4 linked regions of the Xenopus tropicalis genome follow. The protein of the gene in region 3 interacts with the protein of the main gene of each other region in a pairwise test. Links are inferred from orthologs where the notes say so. Each region holds a gene or a part of one and is shown on either strand. Other genes may lie near its edges.

Region 1 (4,034 bases), on a different chromosome or scaffold from region 3:
ATTTGTGTCTTTTTATTTAGCCTATGATTAAGTACCATGATGGTACGAAACGTGTAAGGCTATGCAGCATTATGTGTTAATATAAATAAACATTTTTGATTTTACTGCAATTTTTGAGCTACTGCTTGATACATTTTCTCAAGTCCTGGAGTGCCTGCCATCTTCTAAATTTTGGATTTCCTTATGGCCCCCTCAAGCTGAAGGTCTGGGGCGTGAGCACCCAGGCCCATCTATACCATCGGTGAGCATTCAACCAATATTTGACTTTAAGAGCATAGTTTCCATTTGTGTTTATCTTGCTCTGTCCACATAGATGCTTCTACAGATCGCAGATGATTTCATTGAGAGTGTGGTATCTGCAGCCTGCCAGCTTGCCCGACACCGCAAATCCAACACTTTAGAAGTTAAGGATGTACAGCTTCATCTTGGTATGTTAACCATAACCATATGATGCCAACTTTGTATTTTGTTTAATTCTGCTGTCCCACTTGGATAAGATACACATGAGCAGCTTTTTCTCAATATGTATAAAAACCCTGTCATGAGCTAAGATGAATCTGTGCAAAAGTGGGATTAAATCAATATAAAAGTCAGCAAAAACACATCACACATCACACTTTCCTAAATAAATATTAGTGAAGATTTTCTGTGTATTAGTGTGCATGCACTGGCACAAGGGATCCTTGGGAAAAGCAGTCAAGATTTTTATTGTCTATAATTTTCATGAATAAATATATGTGGGGGGGGGGGGTTGTCACTTCAAAATCTGAACCCACTGCCTTTACCCTTTATTTTTTCTAGCAGGAGTCCATTATTCAGAGGGGTTGTATGTGTACTAGTAATTCAATTATCTACCTCAAAAGACTAAACATGGAGTAGTTTAAATTTCCCTGTTTGCCCTGTTTAACAAAAAACATTGATCTTTCATGATTAAAACATTAGGCGAAAAGTATGTTCATTGCAAGCTCTATTTATTATGCTCTTGTTGAATGGGAGTATACTGGCCCTTTAATAATAACATTAATAATGTTTTTATCTAAATTACAATGTCACCTGCTGGTGCAGCTTAAGAATTACACCACTTATAAATCAGATTCAGAGTACAAAAAAAAGTACAGTGTTATGATTGTTTTTTCTTTCCTTATTTTTTTCTCCCTCCTCCCTTATTATGATAATGTTAAATAGAGAGAGCCTTCCTTCTTGATTATTAAGTATATGACACGGGCATCAGATGTAAAACCAAGCATACAAGTCTGAGATGTTGAATTTCTGCTCCTATTTACACAGAGAGACAGTGGAACATGTGGATTCCAGGCTTTGGTTCAGAAGAAATTCGGCCCTATAAAAAGGCTTGTACTACTGAAGCACATAAACAGGTAATGTGGCTGTCCATTTTCAAATAGTGTGCTTTTTTCATTTGATCCTTTTGTGACTTTTATCCAGTCCAAAGTATAAACCTATAATTTGGCATAAGATGTATGGCCCTTCAGAGGACATATGGTTAGTGCTTGGATCCATGCCTTTGAGGGTGCTATCAATTCCAGTGGCAGCGTAAGCATGTGTGTCTGGAGCTTCAGTTGGAGTAGCATATGAGAACTGAATGTATAGTTAAACACTTGCAGTATAGTTTTAGGGTTATCAAGATCTAAATTAAATCGCCAGTAGACGTATTGGATTTGAGCGCCTAGGAAATAAAATATACATTTGGTAGGCCAAATCCTCTCACATTAGTTGAAAAGGTTGGTAAATACAGTGCCATACTCTGTGCCTTATTTCTCCAAATAAATTATAACTTATTTGTTTAATCATCTTACACCCCAAACATTAGATCCAATACACCCAAACAATTTGTTGGGGTGTATTCGATCTGAGATACCTTACACTGAAGGGTTGGCTAGAACTTTGGCTTGGATGTTTGCATTAAGAGTAAGAAATATGAATCCATATTACTTTTTGCCAGGTTTAAGGATAATGGTGGTCATGGCTTTAGAACATGAAGGGTGGCTAGAATCTTGGATACATTTTAAGTGAGTTAGAGAGAAACATGCTCTGATAGGGAACAAGTAAGAAAATCATATCCATCCATTATGGTAGAAGGTCAGTGTTGGCTTTGACTGGCAGTCTTGTTTAAGAATTGATGTGGAGAAATGACATGTAAAGGCTTATGTAACAGAAAATGGTGTACCCAAGGGTTATAATGGTGTACCCAAGCCTTTGTGGGGGTTTTTTAATTTATTTATTTATTAATTTTTTGTTGCTACCTTTGTTTTAATTTGCACAATGTTGCATTTTTACTTGCAAAGAACAAAAAAAGGCCAATCTGGGGGATGCAAAATTTTAAGTTGACTTCCCGATGACCACAGCCTGCTTACCTTGAATTCCAGGACAGTGTCCCTCTTCCTTTAAAAACATGGTGTTATGGTGCTGATATTTTTTAGAGGTGCAGTGGCTTCATCTCAGCTGCTCTTTCACGTGTTCAGCATTTGCCTGCCGTTGCCCAGGTTCGGCACATACACATTGCAACTAGCCATTGGTGCCATATTGAACACCTGGGAGAGCAGGCAAGGTGGGGCTGGCATACCTCTAAAGAACAATATCAGTGTCAGCATTTTCATTTTAATTTAACTTTAATTAAACTAGTTTTTTTTTTTTTTTTCAAATCAAATTGTTTTGTCTGTTTATGTTTACCTGCCTACTTACCATCCCCTCTGTTTTTCTAACAGAGAATGGCTTTAATTAAGAAAACACAAAAGAAATAAAATCCATTTGTGACTTTGGACTTCTGCAATCCCTTGCCATTCTGATCTTGACACCTTCAAACTGCCACAGATGACAGATGAGCGTGAAGGCAACCTCTTCAGAGAAGAGTCTAACTTTGGGGACAGAAAGTTTACAACCCTCTTGCTGGGAAAGGGTTAATTGGTCCCCTGACTACCTTTTGTATATACATAGGATTGTTTGTTTAATTAAACATGGCTGATGTAATTACTATTTCTACTGATTCTGTTTGTCCATTCATGGAAACAGTCCAGGTAAAAGTGAAGAGTGTTAAAGTGCTGATGGCATCAGTTCTGTCAAACTCCGGCAGTGAGATTAATACCAAAACTGCCATTAACAGGCACAATCACTCTCTGTTTTTTTTTTTTTTGGTTTTTTTTTCAACATGTGCATTTTGCTTCTTGGTTTTTCTGCATTTCTTTGTTTGTACAATAGGCCCCACTACTGTCATCTGTTGATACCTGGGCCTGCGAACGAGCAGCTCTAAGCAGTTCCCTGCACAAAAGTGAAAGTGCAGCAGACACATTGCTCCCTGTTCGGGCAGAGGTCTCTAAATAAGGAGCACTAAGATTTTCTGCTAGTCTCTGGGCCTCCTCCCGGGTTACCATTCGCTTCTCCTTCAGGTCATTCTTTGCTCCAAGCAGCATGAACACCATTGGTTTGGCTTGAGTCCGCTCAGTTACCTCCATATGCCATTCAGTGACATTATCAAAAGATTGCCGTGTGGTAAGATCAAAGAGAAGGAGAACCCCGGCAGCATTTCTGTAGTAGGAACGTGTCACAGCTCTGAAGACACAAAGAAAAAGAATGAACTGAAAGCTACTTGGCATACAGGAAGAGAGAAATCCATACAACACAGTCCATCTTAACAGTCAATAAAAAAAATGCAAGCATTGTATTCCAATTAATGACAATTTCAAAAATATTAATATTTTGAGGCCCTCTCCTTTCTCTGAAAAATGACAAAAGCTGAAATGCAGAAAGAAATAAGCAATTGTACTTTCAAATGCTAAAGTGCCCATCATCTTCTTTTCCCATTACGCCTCCTGACCATTAGCCTTTGTTTCTTCAGCAATAAAGAGGCATCTCAGAAGATAACGGGGCAGATCATCTCCAAAACACATATTCTTTTATAATAGTACACCACAAATACCAAATTTTATCAATTGCTTTTATGGAGCACTATCAGAAAGTAATGCAACTATTTGTTGCTTTGTTACAGACAGAAAAGGAATCAAGGTGAATGCCTAGTAGTG
Region 2 (5,473 bases), about 57 Mb from region 3:
ATTAAAGAGGTGCAACTATTGGCACCCCAATATGTCCCACAGCTGACAATCTACGCCGTAGGAGGCCCTCAGAATTAGCCCCTGTATAAAAGCAGAGCCTCAGGGATCCGTATACGCAGCGTCACCCCCTAACGAGCCCGTCTTTCATTGGCCTGCGCTGAGCGCCCCCCCCACACACACACAAGTGCTGTGCACGTTACATTATAATAGCATTCCATTCATATAAAAACTAAAGGAAGATCAAGAGACACGTGATGTAAAGAATTAGGGTTAGAAGGGCCACAGAGGATAGAGGCTGCTGTACTCTCCTCCTGTAGCCCGGCACATTCTACCCGCTGAGCAGTGATTGGCTGAATATCATCGCAGAAGCCACGGGGGGGGAATGGACACAAACGTCACCGTCCAATCTTTTATTAAAGGGAAACTATGCAAGGCTGCAGTTATAAATCAGGCGCTTTATTGGGTGCAGAAGCCACCAATTGCAATCGCTCATTCCTAATGTCTGCCCGAAGGAAAACCCTCTGCCTACCCACAATCCAACATGAACGCGTCACATGGTATAGGCAAATCCGTAAAGGCTATATGCACCCACATATATAAATATATAGAACTTTCTCAGGCCCCACCCATTTAGCTGCTCCTTCTGATCTGATGGAGAATAAGCATTTAACATGGAGGGAAACCATTCAGAAAGCACTTCAATGGCTTCAACTCCCCAACACCGAGACTAAGATGGCCGCTATCCGGTCACAGCACCAATACGGAATGTTGTGCCCATTAATTACGTCATGTGACAACGTCAGTCTCATTGGCTCTCGCTAACCATGTGACACCCGGATAGAACCTGCTCAGGTAAATGCGATTAATACTGAGGCGTAAAGGGAAAATTGTGCTGCGCTGCCTCTCCTTGTACCCCCCCCAGGAAGAATGTAAGGCGTAACGACGGCCAAGTCCAACCGGAAACGCCCCGAGAGTGGTTACGCTCAAGTGATGCAATTCATAGCAAGGACTGGATTTCTAGCTTTAGTATCAGAGCAGAGGGTCGGGAATTTTTTTTTTTTTTTTTCTTAAAAGTTATCAAGGACAAGAGAAAGACACCACGGATGCTGAAACATAGGGTTAAAGACAAAAAAAAAAAAAAATGGAGATTTTTTTTGGGTAAAACTGGCACATTGAATTTAAAAATCCTTCTACAATGGGTTATGGAGAAAGAGAAGGCTGATGGGGGGAGGAAGAGGTTCAGATTAAAACAGTTCGACGTTTATATACTATGTCAATTAATCAATAAAAACCAGTGGCCGGCTTGCTCAGATGAAAATGGTTAAAAAAAAGAAACCAGGCCCCGCCCCCTGAGGGCTGAGGCTCTGCCCCCAAGGTTCTGACTCTACCCCAGAGGAACCAGTCACATGTTTAAATAATTCTTGGCCCCTCAAATCTGTCAGAGAGAGAAACAAAAGTGTGGGGAAGTGGGGGAGAGAGAGACTTGGGGATCTCCAGGCCCAATCAGAACCAGCACCACCAGATCCAAGATAAAACAGGATGGCCGCCATGTCTGATCTGCACCACTAATTAAAAGCTTGGAAGGAGGGTAGTGTGAAAGGGAAGAGGTGGTTGTGTGCCTGTCAGTGGTGCTCGCGCCAACGCTCTCTCTTGCTTGGGGGGAGTGTTTGGTGACTGCTCCGCCTTTCCCGGTGCAAATTAGAAGTCAGAGAATTCCTTAGCGCACTTCTCTGTGATTGAAACTCGGATCTCTTCTTCTTCATAGTCATCAAAATTACTTGTGTCTCCGGGACCCTTACATTTAGGGATGAAGGGAGCTTCCACCTGGGGGGGGGGGGGGGGGGGAAAAAGAAAAATTAGGGAATTTTATACAGGAAGTGAGGGAGTCTGGGTAAACACCATTCCTCATCTCTAAGCTTGGGCAACAGAAGGGGTGGGAGAAAGAGTAGCACCTAAAGCACCAACGTTCACGGTGGCACCCTGGCACCCCCCCCCAACTATCTGGCATTTCCCTACAGCCGTGCCGCGGGCACAGGAACTGAGAGCTGGAAACAACACCGCACATTCTGATTGGCTCTGTGATAATAAAGACATTCGTCTGGTAAAGGGCTTACTATGCTGCATTACGCATCGCTTAGGGATAATAGCAAAGCATTACGGACACAGCTCAATGGATACTTCTCAGCTAATCCTTAAAGTGATACACACACTAAAAAAAAAAAAATACTTTTCAAATTATTAATGTACATTGTTATCTGTAGGTTGTGTTGGTCATTTTTTTGCTGATAGGACTGCTTATGTATGTAATGTGTGTGATGTAAAAGCATCAGGCAAATACATTAAGGCAAAATTATAAATAGTATGCAAAGGCAGTGTTACGACTAGCGATGCACCGAATCCCGGATTCAGTTTGGGATTCGGGCCAATCCAGCCTATTTTCAAAGTATTCGGCTTCGGCCAAACCAAAAAACGTCTTCGGGGGGTTTGGTGCATCCCTAGTTATGACAATTGTAAAAAGGGTTTCATTTCTGTGTTAGTATCTCTTTAAGTGTCTCTATAATTAGCCGTTATTTTGTCCTGCTGATGACAGAACAGGCTGACACCTATCCTGCTCTCCCCGCCTCCCATTGGTAATTTAATATGACATCACAACCAGCACACCTACCCCTCCAACACCTGCTTATTAGGCACAAGTGTTTGTAACAAGGCTATTGTTGAAGCAAGACCTGAAATACATAATGCATCATGCAGAGTTCCTGTCACATGACTTCCTGAAACTGGTGTATTATAATAATGTACCCCCTGTTAGAAAATAACATAAGTCACCTGGGAGTTCCATGACCTGTATATAAGCACTCAGCCTTCATGCTTTTATATGATCATGGAGCTCTCTCGGTGATAATATCCTTATATTTTACAATAGGGGGTACACTATATATTTTCCCTTTAACTATTAAAAAAGGACTTTACTTGAAGTGATATTGACCCGAAAAAACTACTTTTTGAAATATGAATCTACATAAAAATTTACCTATAGGTCATGTTGATCATTTTTTGCTGATAGGGCTGCTTCTATAAGTAATTGTTACTTGTTGTTCCTAAACCTGACTGTTTTGCCAACCTGACTGTCCCTCTCAACCTGTCAGTTACAGCTTCTAATGCTAACCGACTCCTGCTGCACCAATATGGCCGCCCCCTCATAGAGGAACGTGGGGGATCAAGTGGGGAATGTAAAAGCATCAGAGAAATACTTTTATAGCAAAATTATAAATAGCATGCAAAGGCAGTGTTATGATAGATGTAAAAAACGTTTCATTTCTGGTGTCAGTATCACTTTAAGATTAGGAGACTCAAGCAGAGGCAGAAATAGATTTGGTGTTTGCAAGAAGAGGGTCATGGTTCCTCCCTAGACACCAAACTGCTGTTAATAAAATACTTTCCCATTTCAGGAATGTCCAATCAGGGTTCCCCTTCCGCTGCTCAGTCAGAACTCCCAGAATACCCTCACAGTTTGGCTGTCGGTGGATGCTGGTAGTTGCCGATTGGACATTCCTGAGTACAAGTACATCCCTACCCAACAAGCCTACCAAAACCAGACAGTAAAGGTCTCTCCTTCCACTGAGCTTCCCCGGCAGCAATACCATAATCCCGTGTCCATCCCATTCCCCCCGGGCACCTTTTTCTGGTAGACTGCAATCCAGTCCGTGGTACTGAACCATTTGTGTCCCTTGATGTCTGTCACACCATTCTTCAAATTCCCAAATCGCTTAGTCAGATCGACTTGCAAAAGGTTTCTGAGGAGATCCTTCAAGTCGGAGCTAAAGTGAGAGGGGAACCGGACCTGCGGGGATAACAGCGAAAGAAAAGAACGTGAGAAAGAAATGAATTTGAGCCTATGGGGGGTGGAAGAGGATGAAAAGAAAAGATCAAAGAACATGGCTGCTCCGAGCAAGATATAGGAACAAGCTGGGACTCACCTTCCCCGATACTATTTTTTCATAGATCTGAATGGGCTGATCAGCGAAAAAGGGAGGATACCCCGCAGCCATCTCATAAATCAGGACTCCTAGGGCCCACCAATCCACTGCCTTATTATAACCCTGAAAGACATAACAAAAACAGTCATATAAGCTCCGAGAGATATAAGGCATCTTTACACCATAATGTGTCTGTGTTACAAGACTTTCTGTTATAGGGTTGGCCAGTGCTGCAGAGATGGCCAAGAATTCCTAGGCAGCTTCTAAGCCCTCCAGTCTCTGAAATATGGGGGAATGTGGACTTCCTGGAAAGACCAGCTTATTGTTATATGGAGTTAGGCTAATGTCCCCTAATTTGTCTGACTCTCATAAGCCAGGGCTTTGTTCATTTGGGCACTAAATAACTGCTAAAACCCCATCTATGTAATACAAGTCCTAATGTAAAAGTGCAGAATACTTTGAAGGCAAGCAATTTAGCTGTGGGTTCTATCACCGAATCTGCACCATGACTGTAGTGTTGGGTATGAGGCTGATAAACCAATGTCTTTAATATGGAAGGCCCTAAATACGCCAGGGCCTGGGATGTCATTCATTTTTTCCCATACATTTCTGTGACCAGGAGTATAAGGAGCTGGCATGGAAGCAAAAGATGCCAGTGTCAGATGTAGCGGGCATTGTGGGAGAAAACCAAGAAAATCCTCTCAGGCCTTCTAACCTGCCGAGTAAATCAGTCTCAGCCCTACTGCCCCACTGCCCAGGGCACGCTGCCATAACAGCTGGATCTCCACTATCAGACTCAGTTTGAGCTACATAAAGGAATGTAGGGGGGAGCTCCGAGCATAAAGCCAAGAAAATACCCTACAGGGAGGGTCATACTCACCTTGCTAAGGATTATTTCTGGCGCCAGGTACTCTGGTGTCCCACACAGGGTCCAGGTCCTCCCTTTCACTCTCTTTGCAAAGCCAAAATCCGTCACCTGGAAAACAGCATATAAGTGTGATTCCATATCTGGCTTCCCAAGTCGTACCATGCCCCCAGTTCATTACTGAAGGTTATTATAAATGGGTTTAGCAAGAGCAGTGGGTACATGCCCTGGGCCCTCATAATGGCAAAAGTACCAAACATATACAGTTATAGGTTTATTGTATACACACTGGGGACCTGTAAGAAAGCTGCCATCTGCTGGCACAAGGGGTGTATTACCTGGATGTATCCCTGCTGGTCTATGAGGAGATTCTCGGGTTTCAAGTCTCTGTATATAAGATCCAGGGCGTGCAGATATTCAAAAGTTAATACAATCTGGGATGCATAGAAGCGTGCATGAGGTTCACTGTGGGGACAGGAGAAACAAAACGTTAGGCGTAATGATATGTACCAATACCCCAATGCTCGCTGTATAGAGATGCACAGATTTCTGTATTCTAATAAACAGTGCTGGCCTGGCCATTACTTTTATTTGCAAGCAGTTAGAACTGCAGACATCAGCTAAAGAAAGA
Region 3 (5,763 bases):
GGAAGGCTTCCAAAATCATCGTTTACGAGCGCTCAATTTGAAAAAGTCGCGACAATATACGAGCAAGTTGTAACGGCTACGAAAAAGTTGCGACAATTCACGCAAGTCGTAACGGCTACGGAAAAGTCGTGACGGCGACAAAAAAATAGCAAAAAATACGAAAAAGTCGCAAAATGTTCCTTTCCAATCAGGTTTTTTCCCATTCGGGATTCGGATTCGTGGATTAGTAAATCAGCCCCTTGGTATGCGCCTCTGTCTTTCTCTTCTCTTCACTAGTCTTTCTTCCTGTTCCCCACATACCTTTTCTTTTTCCCCCCAACTTTTAACATTCTCACTTGTGCCTTCTTGCCCAGACACATTTTCTCCACTGTACAATAATTTGCACTGTTCTTACCCATTTTAATGATCTTCACTTTTCCCCATTCCTCTTTTCTAGCTACCCCATCTTTCACACTTTTTATCTTTTAATGCTTCATATTTCGTGTAGGCCCTCCTCACTGGTCACTGTTACAGAAACCCTTACATTTTTCTTTTCCGTAGGCAACATATTTTATTTTTCCTTCCTTTGGTGTATATCTTCAGCTCTCTTGTCCCTTGTGCTAAGTGGGTGATGTACAGATTCTCTTGAAAGCAGAAGCACTTCAAGTCCCAGAATCCATCACTTCACAATAGAAAAAGGTTGTATAAAAATGTGAGCCTATGGGGGGAAGAAATGGTTCAGTTGAATATAGGTTGGCTATAAAGGTTTTCTTTCAATATGTAGAATCAGGTAAGTGTTTAAAATGCATCCTTATTTAGATAGTGTTTATGCTCCTTTTTAACATAAGCCCAACTGAATGAGTTCATATTAAAATGATGGGGGTATATGGTCCCTTTTCAGGTATAAATGGCTTACAAATTTTTAAATCACAGCCGCATAAACTTACATTTAACACTAAATTTCATATGCCATTTACTTACCCAGATTGCCCATATCATGCACAAGGATGCCATATCCTGAATACAATTAATTGGCCTACATAGTTTTGTGCCATCTGCAAACTGCATATTTGTTGTTGTTGTTTTTTAATTAATAAACAAAATCATTTTACACTTTATTTAGAGTAATAAAGTTTTGATAGTTACATGGACCAAGCTATTTCTTAGAACTTAGCAAGTGTCCTATTGACGCCCAAGGAAAGACTATTTGGTCCTGCACTCACAATTTCTTCTGCACACCAACCCTGCCACTGTCTGGGCTCTCCCTCACCCATCAACCACTCCTATCTCACCTAGTCACACCTCTTAACTATGCCAGAGGCACATAACTCTTCTGCCTACTCCTATTTCTAGCCCTGCTACCCTGCATTATAAAAACTCTCCTATGGGCCTCCATTCTAGAACTACTTGACATACCAAGGCCCTCTCCCCATATCTCTTAAAGAGCCAATTCCATCTTATTCCTCTTATAGTAATTGGCAATCAGGTAAATGCACAAGGACTGATGTTTGTCAGACTACTGTGGTAAGAAAAGGCACACTAGCTGTTTTTTAGGTGGAAACTGGCTGACAAGGATCCCAAAGTACCCTTGTCCTAACACGCAAGATGAATGTGTCTCTTTCATTTTCTTAATTTTTTGGGACTCTTAGTAGAAATTGAAACAATTACCTGGGTCTTCACAGACAAATAAATCCTATGATTGAAAGGCAGCAGAATAAAATACATTCCTTTAAGGTAATGACATGTATTGGTCCTCCTCTGGTAGAAAAGCACAAGCCTGCCTGTACTGCCCTTTTCTCCTGATATTCCCTTCAATTACACCCACCTGACCCACGGGGCAGACTTCAGCCTCAGCATCTGATGCCCACCTGTGTGCGCAGCGACAGGTAAATGTGATTGTAGGAAACAGCAAAAAAGGTAATACCTTATGAAGTCACTGGCATTTATCTGCCATGTCTGTCTTTAGCCTTAAGCAACTACAAATATTTGCTGTAACTTTAAAAATATCATATTTTGTTCTAATTCTCAGAGCAGTTGACATAGATTTCAGTTTTTAATAATGCTGTGTCTTAGGACAATAGAGGGGAGAGTAGAGACATCAATAGGTGAAGGACAGCTATAGTAATACTACAATAACAAGAGCACTATTTAATATTCTCATGATGTTGCCTGGATGGGCAAAGAATGTATATACTGTGGATCTCATATAAATGTCGCTGATCAAGCAAAAGGTTAGGTGTTTGTTATAGTACCATAAAATAATATCTAACCATGAGGCATCTTATCTTTATAAATATGACTGAGAAAATATAGGTTTTGTTTCTGTAATTTATACACAGTATGGTGTGGCCTTAGTTCTGTCCCCTAAAACGTAAACATATAATAACAATACGGTGTGAGTGAGTTTTGTGGGGAAACCACCACCACGAGAATTCCCTTACAGCTGGCAATTTTAGTTCAGTCACAGCTTGAGAGAAAAGGGTGGAAAAACCTATGCCCTGCATATGGAAGGCAGGGACAAAAGGACGGACACCTGAACTGCAGGGTTCCTCATTAGCACATACCCACAAAATCCTCTTCATCGTCATCCTCCTCCTCCTCGCCGTTTTCAGAGTCAGTCTGCATGGGCTCCTCGGCGAAAATGACCCCTTTAGTGAGCCTGAAAGGTAATTCCATGCCATGGCTGAGGGGGCCGCCCTGACTCTTAGACTGCTTGAGCTGGGTGAAGTACTGCAAGGCGAATTCCAGCAGGTCCTCGGGCTGTTTTCGTAACACCTCCACGGTAAAGCTCTGCAGTAGCTCCGTCAGCCCCTCCGGGATTTCTATACTCATTCCTGGGGTAGCGGGGCAGGAAGCTGGATTTGGTGCACAGCAGCAGTATGTCACTGGGAGATCTCTATTGGCTGCCAGTAGGCACAGGGAGCTGGCTACTATGGGGTACCATGCTACTCATAGAGCATAATGCAGGGGTACCGACATGAGAATAAAAGGCGCTGCTCATCCGTATGAACTGGCATTATTAACATTCAAGCAGGTGATGGGGTTTAAGTGACAGGAAAGTTAGGCGAGCCCACATGACACGCTAAAGAGGGGGGGGCAATTAGGCAGTGATCATAGGGCAGCAGGGTGTACGAGGTCCAGCGGCCTGAGGCACCGGGTCCCTGCCCGACAATACAAACATGCAAGTGGGCACTGGTTTAAAAGATTTCTTTTTAATTACAGCGATGATGATGAATCCCTCTTCCACGCTGTGGCTCTGGCTCTCCCCAGGCTCTCACTTGTGGCGACACCGCAGTCGGCGGCAATAAGGGTATGAGAGGCACGCTTAGGCTGCGCTGCGAACCCTTATCGTTTCCGGGGAAGATGGTGAAGCTGTTGTGTTGTCCTTGTCACTTCTCCCGGATTAACAGGCCCCCAAGCTCACACAAGGCGCAGACCAAATACAACTGAGCATACAAAGTGCTGCATCCTCCGCCTCCCGCCCGCAGCCGCCTGTCAATCAAATGGGAGCCAGCAGCGTGCATGTGACCACCGGAAACCATGGCAACCCTCCATCTCAAGCATTGCGTGTGGAGCAGGTGCGGATACAGACTGGCGGGGATGCTGCGCAGAAAACGACCAATGTGGCCGAAGGGGACTCCGATTTCAGCAAAGAATGAAAGTGGGTTAAGGGCTCAGAGATGGCAGACTATCAGCAGCAGTCTGTTTTATTTATACTACACTATAAGGCTCTAATTGTCTTCACTAGAAAGGCCCTCGCTTTCCTTTGATTTTTCCTACTGGTATCCCCATTTTCTTACAACGAATATGTTGTCTCTGTATGACCAGCTTTTAATTATTTATAAATATATATATATATTTGCTTGAAAATCTATTTTTGTACTGTCCTGGAAAGTATATCTTTATTAGCCTCAATCTAGCCAGTACTACTAGCCAGTAGTTTGTAAAGCAGCCAATATATTAAGTTAAATCCACACATAAAAATACACATTTTCCAACTATACAATAAAAATCTGCATATTTTAGATCACATTTTCAGGATTTCCTTGGCTTTTTTAGGAATACTGTCATGGGAAACAGGTGTTTTCTTCACCAGAAAAACCCTGCATTTAAATCCATTTTTTTATAAACTCAGGTTTTTTTAAATTTCATTTTGAAATTTCACATGGGGCTAGCCATATTCTTCATTTCCCAGGGTTCCACAACCATGTGACCTGTGCTCTGAAAAACTTTAGTCACACTTTACTGCTGAGCTGCAATTGGAGTGATATGACCCCCCCCCCTCCCAGCAGCCAATCAGTAGAAGGTAGCAAGACAGAAGCTCCCACTAGATATCAGAATAGCACTCAGTAGTAGGAAATCCAAGTGCATCTTGGGACTCCTCCAGTTACAGTTCTAATGTGTAGCCCTGTCTTCTTCTGAAAGCTCAGACTCAGGCACAGTGCACTGAGATTGCTGCCTACACACCAATATTAAAACAAAAAAATACATTTGTTGGTTCAAGAATAACATTTTAAATGGTAGAGTGAATTATTTGCTATGTAAATAATGTAATCTGGAAATAAAAAGTATACCATAAAAATCATGACAGTATCCCTGTAACATTAATTCTCTAAAGCCGCATTTTCCCTAAATAATCTTTTAAAGGAAAAACTGCTTAACTGTTGAGTATAATGTAAAAAATGATCACCATATGGACAAATATTGTCAAGAATAGATGGTAGTACTTACCAAACCATCAGTTCTATACAGTAAAGATTATTATTCATTAGCTGGAGCAATAGTTCTATTTGTTTATCAAGTGCAGGTTTGCAGTGATAGCTGCACAATCTCTCTGGCTGGTGTTTGCCAGTAGGTGGATTATGGCATTAGGTACTGAAATGAATGCCCTCATCATAGCCATGATAGCTATTGCCTGGCCTAACCATCACAACAAAAGGGTGAACAGCCAGAAGGCCGTACAAATGTTTTACTGACAAATGAAAAATCATTCTGTTGGTCTCAGGCACAAAGAAGCTATTGCAACTGATTTACCAGATGTGCTACATTTCCTCAGTGCAGTTACTTATAGCAACCAAACAGATCTTTGCTATTATTTTCTAACTTTTAATTGACTAAAAAGCTAATTGCTGTATGTTGGTATAGGCCACTGCACTTGTCTGATTTAACACCTAAGTTTCTTGTGTTTACCTCTCTATTAACTTCAGGCTAGCTTCAAGCACCAGCCAGAAAGATTGATGCGTTCTACCTGCGGTCTGCCCTTGCATTTCAGTGAGCACAAACGAGTAGGCTGCGATTCTTCCTGTGTTTCCCTGTGCTGGAATGTATGAATGATCCAGCGCAGGGAAACATAGTAAAAAATGCTTGTATGTAAAAGCCCTAATAGAGGAAAGATAAATAGAAACATAATTGTAATAATATAGCTTCACATTCTGTTTTCTGGTTACTGACCCTAAAACCCAAGTAGTGCTATAAATCACATGTTGGACAGAGGCAGAATATGAAGTCAAATAAATTATTAATGAAAGAAAAAAAGTCCTCACTATTTTGACATGATATCTTTGGGAATTTATTTACTGTACCCTTTCACTCCCTAGTCACACAACATCACAATCAGTTCAACATATTGCCAAGATACAACCATAGGTCTTTAACATACTCATGCATGCCCTTGTGAAAATTTTGCTACTGGTCTAATCACCTATAGCAACCAATCAGCAGGTAGCATTTTCTGGTTGCCTGTTTAAAAACAGACAGGGTATTCATTGTTTTGAATGAGAGATT
Region 4 (4,984 bases), on a different chromosome or scaffold from region 3:
GGTCGGTCCTGTCATATTACAGATGATCTGTCCAGTTTGAAAATATCATTTGCTGCTGCCCCATGCTGGTGATGTGGTTCTGATTGTCTGGCTGCTAGCCATGAGTTCAGGTAGATTTACAACCAATTTGAGCAGTTTACAGTCATAAAAAATAACACCCATAGGTTCTGCATGACTTCCCCAGTGATGTAGTCATTAAGCCAACTGGCAAAGCATTATGGGAGACATTAAAGGAGATAAATGGGAAAACCCTAATTTTGTAGGCAATTATGAATAATATATGGTGCTGGTTTCACTTTGTGCTAAAAAATTAATCCTATCTGTAAAAATGGCCCCTTTATTGGAGCTCCCTGTAGATCCTATCACTTCTCTGTCAGAGTTTAAAATGAGGGGTGGGCGTGTCCTAACGGTCCCTGCCAGAAGCACAGTAGGAGGGGGAGAGCCAATCACAGCCCTGCAGTCACACAAGCACAGACAGGCTTCAGTTCCCTATCAGGTCAGCCTAGCTGCTGATTGGTTCCTATCCTACAGGGCAGTGTACGGAGGGCCGCCGGCTCCCCAGCACATCCAGAGAATTCAGCCAGCAGGAAGTGAAACGGATGGGCGGGGCTAGTGGGGTTTGGGGGGAATTTCTCAATAAATCAGTCCGAAACACAACATTTTTAGCACAATCCTTCTATATCTAGAGGAGTACAATTCCCTGGTACATTCTTAATTTTAATAGGATATGTCTCCTTTAACACACTACTACAGCTGATACAGACAGTATTACCTTTATATGAAATTCCAAATTTTCATCCATAGAGTAAATATAATTAAAAATATCTTGCACTATCCTGGGAATAATCCCCATTCCATCTGGGTCATGGAGTTTTCCCTGAAAAAAATTAAGAGACGTTCAGAATAAAATCAGTACAGTTTTATCAATGAATACTACCAGCAGTGAATGACTGGGTCTTACCTCCATGGTATGGGTTTTTCCTGATGATGTCTGCCCATAAGCAAATATTGTGCCATTATATCCATCCAGAACATCTAGCAAAATACAAATGGAAGGATGAATAATGAATAAAGTATACATAAATAATCACCATTCAACATTACCAACTTTATTTCAGGGCACATTACTTCCAAGTATCAAGTTACCCCTCCCCATCAATTTTTAAACATCTGACAAAATTAAAAGGCACACATTTTAACTATTTCATGACATACTACTTCAGGGGGCATTGCCATTTCAATAATAGATACTTGAGTACATGGGCCAAATTGTTTCATTTTTTGAGTTTATTGAACGTATTTGTGCAAAGCAATTCAAGTAATATAGAAATACGCAATCATAGTTACAGGATGTATACAGGTTTATATATCTATAATAACAGACATATGTATGCATAGATCTTACATTGCCTGCGGGTATATACTGTTGGAAGCTTGTGTGTCTGGACGGAAGGAGTCGCGCCACATGAGCCTCCCAGAGCCCACAGTAGTATTAATTTGCTTCTAACCTTTGTAAATCAAACAGGGGAAGGGGAGGGGACCCGGGAGTATAAATGAATAAAGGAATTAAGGAAAGAAAGAAAAAAAAAGGGGGGGGAGAAAAAGACGTATGTGTCGGCTGTTACATCAAGAAAGTGTTACCCTGATCCTCTGTGTTGTGAAATAAACTGTGTGTTAAAATGATCAAGTAACAGAGTATAGTATAGTTTTGAGTGCAGGATGCTCCTGTTGGGACCAGCCTAAAGGTAGGAAGTGATTTTACAAAAGACTGGCGCAGGAATAGCATCAGGAGAGCATAATACTGTGGTGGGCTATAGAAGAAGTAATATTATACTTTAGTTATAAGAATAATCAATTCTTTTCTAAAACAGAACTTTTATAAAATACTCAATACCCTTATTCACACTACAGCATGTAGAGAGACACTAAAAAAAGTAACTAGATTTCAGAAAAGGTAAAGAATTGGTAATGGATTTTGAAAGTTTATTTCCAAGAGATTGGGCCATATTCATTTTCATGTATGCGATATGTTTCCATTAACTTCTGCACCATGATACACGTTTTGGCCCACAGCACATGGCAGATATGATTTTGTGGCAAACCGCTTTGCCCAGCTAAACAAAATGTACAGTGACGCTGTATCTATCTCTGTGTGGGGAAATTACATTTTGTACAGATTCTCTTTAAAGAAACAGTTCAGTGTAAAAATAAAACTGGGTAAAATAGACTGTGCAAAATCAAAAATATTTTAATATATAAATGCTGGAGTGGGCAGATGTCAAACATACTTTATTTCCTGCTTTACAGCTCCCTAAGCTGTCAGTAACCAATCAGTGCCTTGAGGGGGGCCATATGGGACATTACTGTTCAGTTTGTTTGCATTTGAATCTGACCTACGGGCTCACAAACTAACTGAACAGTTATGTCCCATGTGGCACCCCCTAAAGTCACTGACTAACTAAGAGGTTAGAGAGCAGGAAGTACAGTTCTGGCTATTATGTTAGACATTTGGTCTGTCCAGCCTTTATAGATTACATTTTTTGCCTAACTATATTAGAAATATTTTTTATTTTGCGCCGTCTATTTTACCCAGTTGCATTTTTAAATAGACAATTACAACAAATGGGTTGTAACTCTTAAAGGAGGACTAACTACCAGATATGCCATATTTCAAATACTGAACTGCACCAGCCTAACATTTCAGCATCTCTCAAATCAAGCAGAAAATTAGGCTGGCCTGTCATATAAACTGATGCTACAGGGCTTGTCATTTAATTTGTATGCACTGGTTTCTGAGCTGCCACGTATTGAAAATCTGAATTAATTACTCTGCTTTGTATAATGACATTTATATTAATTATATAATATAGGTTTCCTTGGGCTGGCACAGCACTTCAAAACATGATGTGCTGCATTTTTAGCCTACTTCTTTGTTAATCTTTAGTTCTCCTTTAAACAACAAACCCAACTATGGGAGATTAGGCAGTCAAAATAACCAGGAGCATTACATCATGTTGTGCGCAATGGGATTGCAGAGTAAGCCCTAGAAGCCTCCAGGGAGTGACAGCAGGGCTAGGGAGTGGCACTGGAGGAGTAGCATTTTGCTAAGCTTGTATAGCTCTTGCTAAGGAAGCACATTACCAAGATTTAACAAATAATCATACCCATACTGCAACAAACCACTGAACTGATACAGCTCCTTTCAATAGAAAAGATCAGTTACACAAGCAGCACCCTAGGTTTCAATTTGACAAATAACTATATAATAATATGGAGAATGGCTTGATAAAAGGCCTGAATTGGCTAGGAACATTGCTGTAATGCCCTATGTGTGCAATAAACACATTTTTATGGATTAATAACTGCAATGCTTTTCAAGTTTAATTTCCTATTGAACACCAACGTGGTAAACGTGCAGTGCTGAAAACATTTCCGAATTGTTGTGCTGACTACTTCTTGTCTCTAGTATGGAGAATGGGAATCAAATGCTTATGTTCTTGTGCACACAAACTCAGTTCCTTTTGCACCCCCAAAAACCAAAAATAAGCAATACAAATTAACTTGAAAAAAAAGTTGCAGTTAGCCCACTGTGGGTTAAACACTTTTGACTATATCCTTTGTAAGAAGAATTCTGCTTAAAGCATGTTTAAGTTTCACTCTAATGTGCATATGCAAGTCATACATAGAAGAGGATCGCTCGATCAGTTACCCCAGGCCGGTGCAGTTTTCAACTAACAGGAGCTCCCTTAGGGTGAAGACACATGGAGCTACTAGTAGCAGCTACTTGCCGTGGCTACTAAAATAGACAATGCTGATCATTTGCTGGCAAATGGTCTCTGTTTTAAGAAGAGGCAATTTTCAGTATTCTCTATGGCAGGGTATTTTCTGGTGTTTAGTAGCCGTGACAAGTAGCTGTTACTAGTAGCTCCGCGTGTCTTTACCCTTAAAGGGAAATCATCATGCTGGTATAGACAGGTGTAAACAACTAGCTACCACATGGCTTAAATCTTATGTTTTTGTGTACAATACAATGGCTTTGCACCTTTCCCTAACTCAGATGGTACGGAGACAGAACATCAAACTGCAGCATATTCATACCACTGTACAAGGCCAATGCTAATTTGTATTTAAAAGGGTAGTTCGCCTTTCAATTAACTTTTAATATGATGACATTGATATTCTCAGACAATTTGCAATTGGTCTTCATTTTTTATGGGTTTTTTTTGGTTATTGAGCTTTTTGTTCAGCAACCCTCCATTTGGTATTTTAGCAGCTATCTGGTTACTAGGGTCTTATTTACCCTAGCAATCAGGCAATGGTTTAAATGAGAGATGGGAATATGAATAGTAGAGGGCTTGCATGGAAAGATAAGTAATAAAAAGTAACAATAATAATACCATTGTAGCCTTACAGAGCAATAGTTTTTGGCTGTTGGGGTCAGTGACCCCATTTGAAAGGTGGAAAGAGGCAGAAAACAAAAGGCAAATAATGAAAACCAGGGGCATGAACAGGTCCAGCAGCTTTCCTGTCTACTAATCAGAATGGGAGGCAACGGGAATGTGTGTACTTGCAATAGAGCAGTTAGTTTTCCAGTGCTCTATACTGGTGCTTACTCATTTCTCCTGCTGCAATCAATAGACAGAAGGGTCAGCGGCCCTCCTGCTAGCAAGAAGAATGACATTATTTGGCTTAATGCTTTTTATTAGACTAAAAAGGAAAATCTATAACAAAAGTTACATATATAAAGGTATAATTATACAATCACAGAAATATTAGTTAGAAACTACGGTACCTTAAGGCTAGTGTCACATGAGGCAGATTGTCAGTCTGCGTATAAACACAAGTCAAGAATCGGCCGATCCACCGGCCTCTACTTGCTCCTGTGTCTGCACTCGCAGACTCCGTTTTGGCCTCGGTGCAGACACAGAGCCGATTATGGTGCTAAATTACACAGCTATGCATTTTCACACCAAAATCTGCACCC

The links.
Region 1: the proteins of prkar2b (region 3) and taf12 interact in binary tests that used the Homo sapiens proteins (3 or more experiments, as listed by UniProt). The two-hybrid records come from large-scale screens. The link is inferred for Xenopus tropicalis from reciprocal best matches to the Homo sapiens genes PRKAR2B and TAF12.
Region 2: the proteins of prkar2b (region 3) and prkaca interact in binary tests that used the Homo sapiens proteins (3 or more experiments, as listed by UniProt). The link is inferred for Xenopus tropicalis from reciprocal best matches to the Homo sapiens genes PRKAR2B and PRKACA.
Region 4: the proteins of prkar2b (region 3) and kif5b interact in binary tests that used the Homo sapiens proteins (3 or more experiments, as listed by UniProt). The two-hybrid records come from large-scale screens. The link is inferred for Xenopus tropicalis from reciprocal best matches to the Homo sapiens genes PRKAR2B and KIF5B.

Annotation. Positions count from the first base shown.
Region 1 is NC_030678.2:78,440,208-78,444,241, reverse strand, and holds the end of taf12 (transcription initiation factor TFIID subunit 12), read left to right. Parts: exon of another isoform or gene 1-313; coding exon 314-428; exon of another isoform or gene 429-1,287; coding exon 1,288-1,376; exon of another isoform or gene 1,377-2,723; coding exon 2,724-2,759; 3' UTR 2,760-2,985; downstream 2,986-4,034. Other genes in the region: rab39a (ras-related protein Rab-39B), read right to left, coding at 3,159-3,564. UniProt on the Homo sapiens protein: The TFIID basal transcription factor complex plays a major role in the initiation of RNA polymerase II (Pol II)-dependent transcription.
Region 2 is NC_030679.2:134,179,421-134,184,893, forward strand, and holds the end of prkaca (cAMP-dependent protein kinase catalytic subunit alpha), read right to left. Parts: intron 5,308-5,473; coding exon 5,181-5,307; intron 4,954-5,180; coding exon 4,858-4,953; intron 4,101-4,857; coding exon 3,978-4,100; intron 3,842-3,977; coding exon 3,677-3,841; intron 1,825-3,676; coding exon 1,699-1,824; 3' UTR 1,050-1,698; downstream 1-1,049.
Region 3 is NC_030679.2:76,691,495-76,697,257, forward strand, and holds the start of prkar2b (cAMP-dependent protein kinase type II-beta regulatory subunit), read right to left. Parts: upstream 3,211-5,763; 5' UTR 2,812-3,210; coding exon 2,544-2,811; intron 1-2,543. UniProt on the Homo sapiens protein: Regulatory subunit of the cAMP-dependent protein kinases involved in cAMP signaling in cells. Type II regulatory chains mediate membrane association by binding to anchoring proteins, including the MAP2 kinase.
Region 4 is NC_030682.2:22,995,658-23,000,641, reverse strand, and holds part of kif5b (kinesin-1 heavy chain), read right to left. Parts: intron 1,036-4,984; coding exon 962-1,035; intron 878-961; coding exon 773-877; intron 1-772. UniProt on the Homo sapiens protein: Microtubule-dependent motor required for normal distribution of mitochondria and lysosomes. Can induce formation of neurite-like membrane protrusions in non-neuronal cells in a ZFYVE27-dependent manner.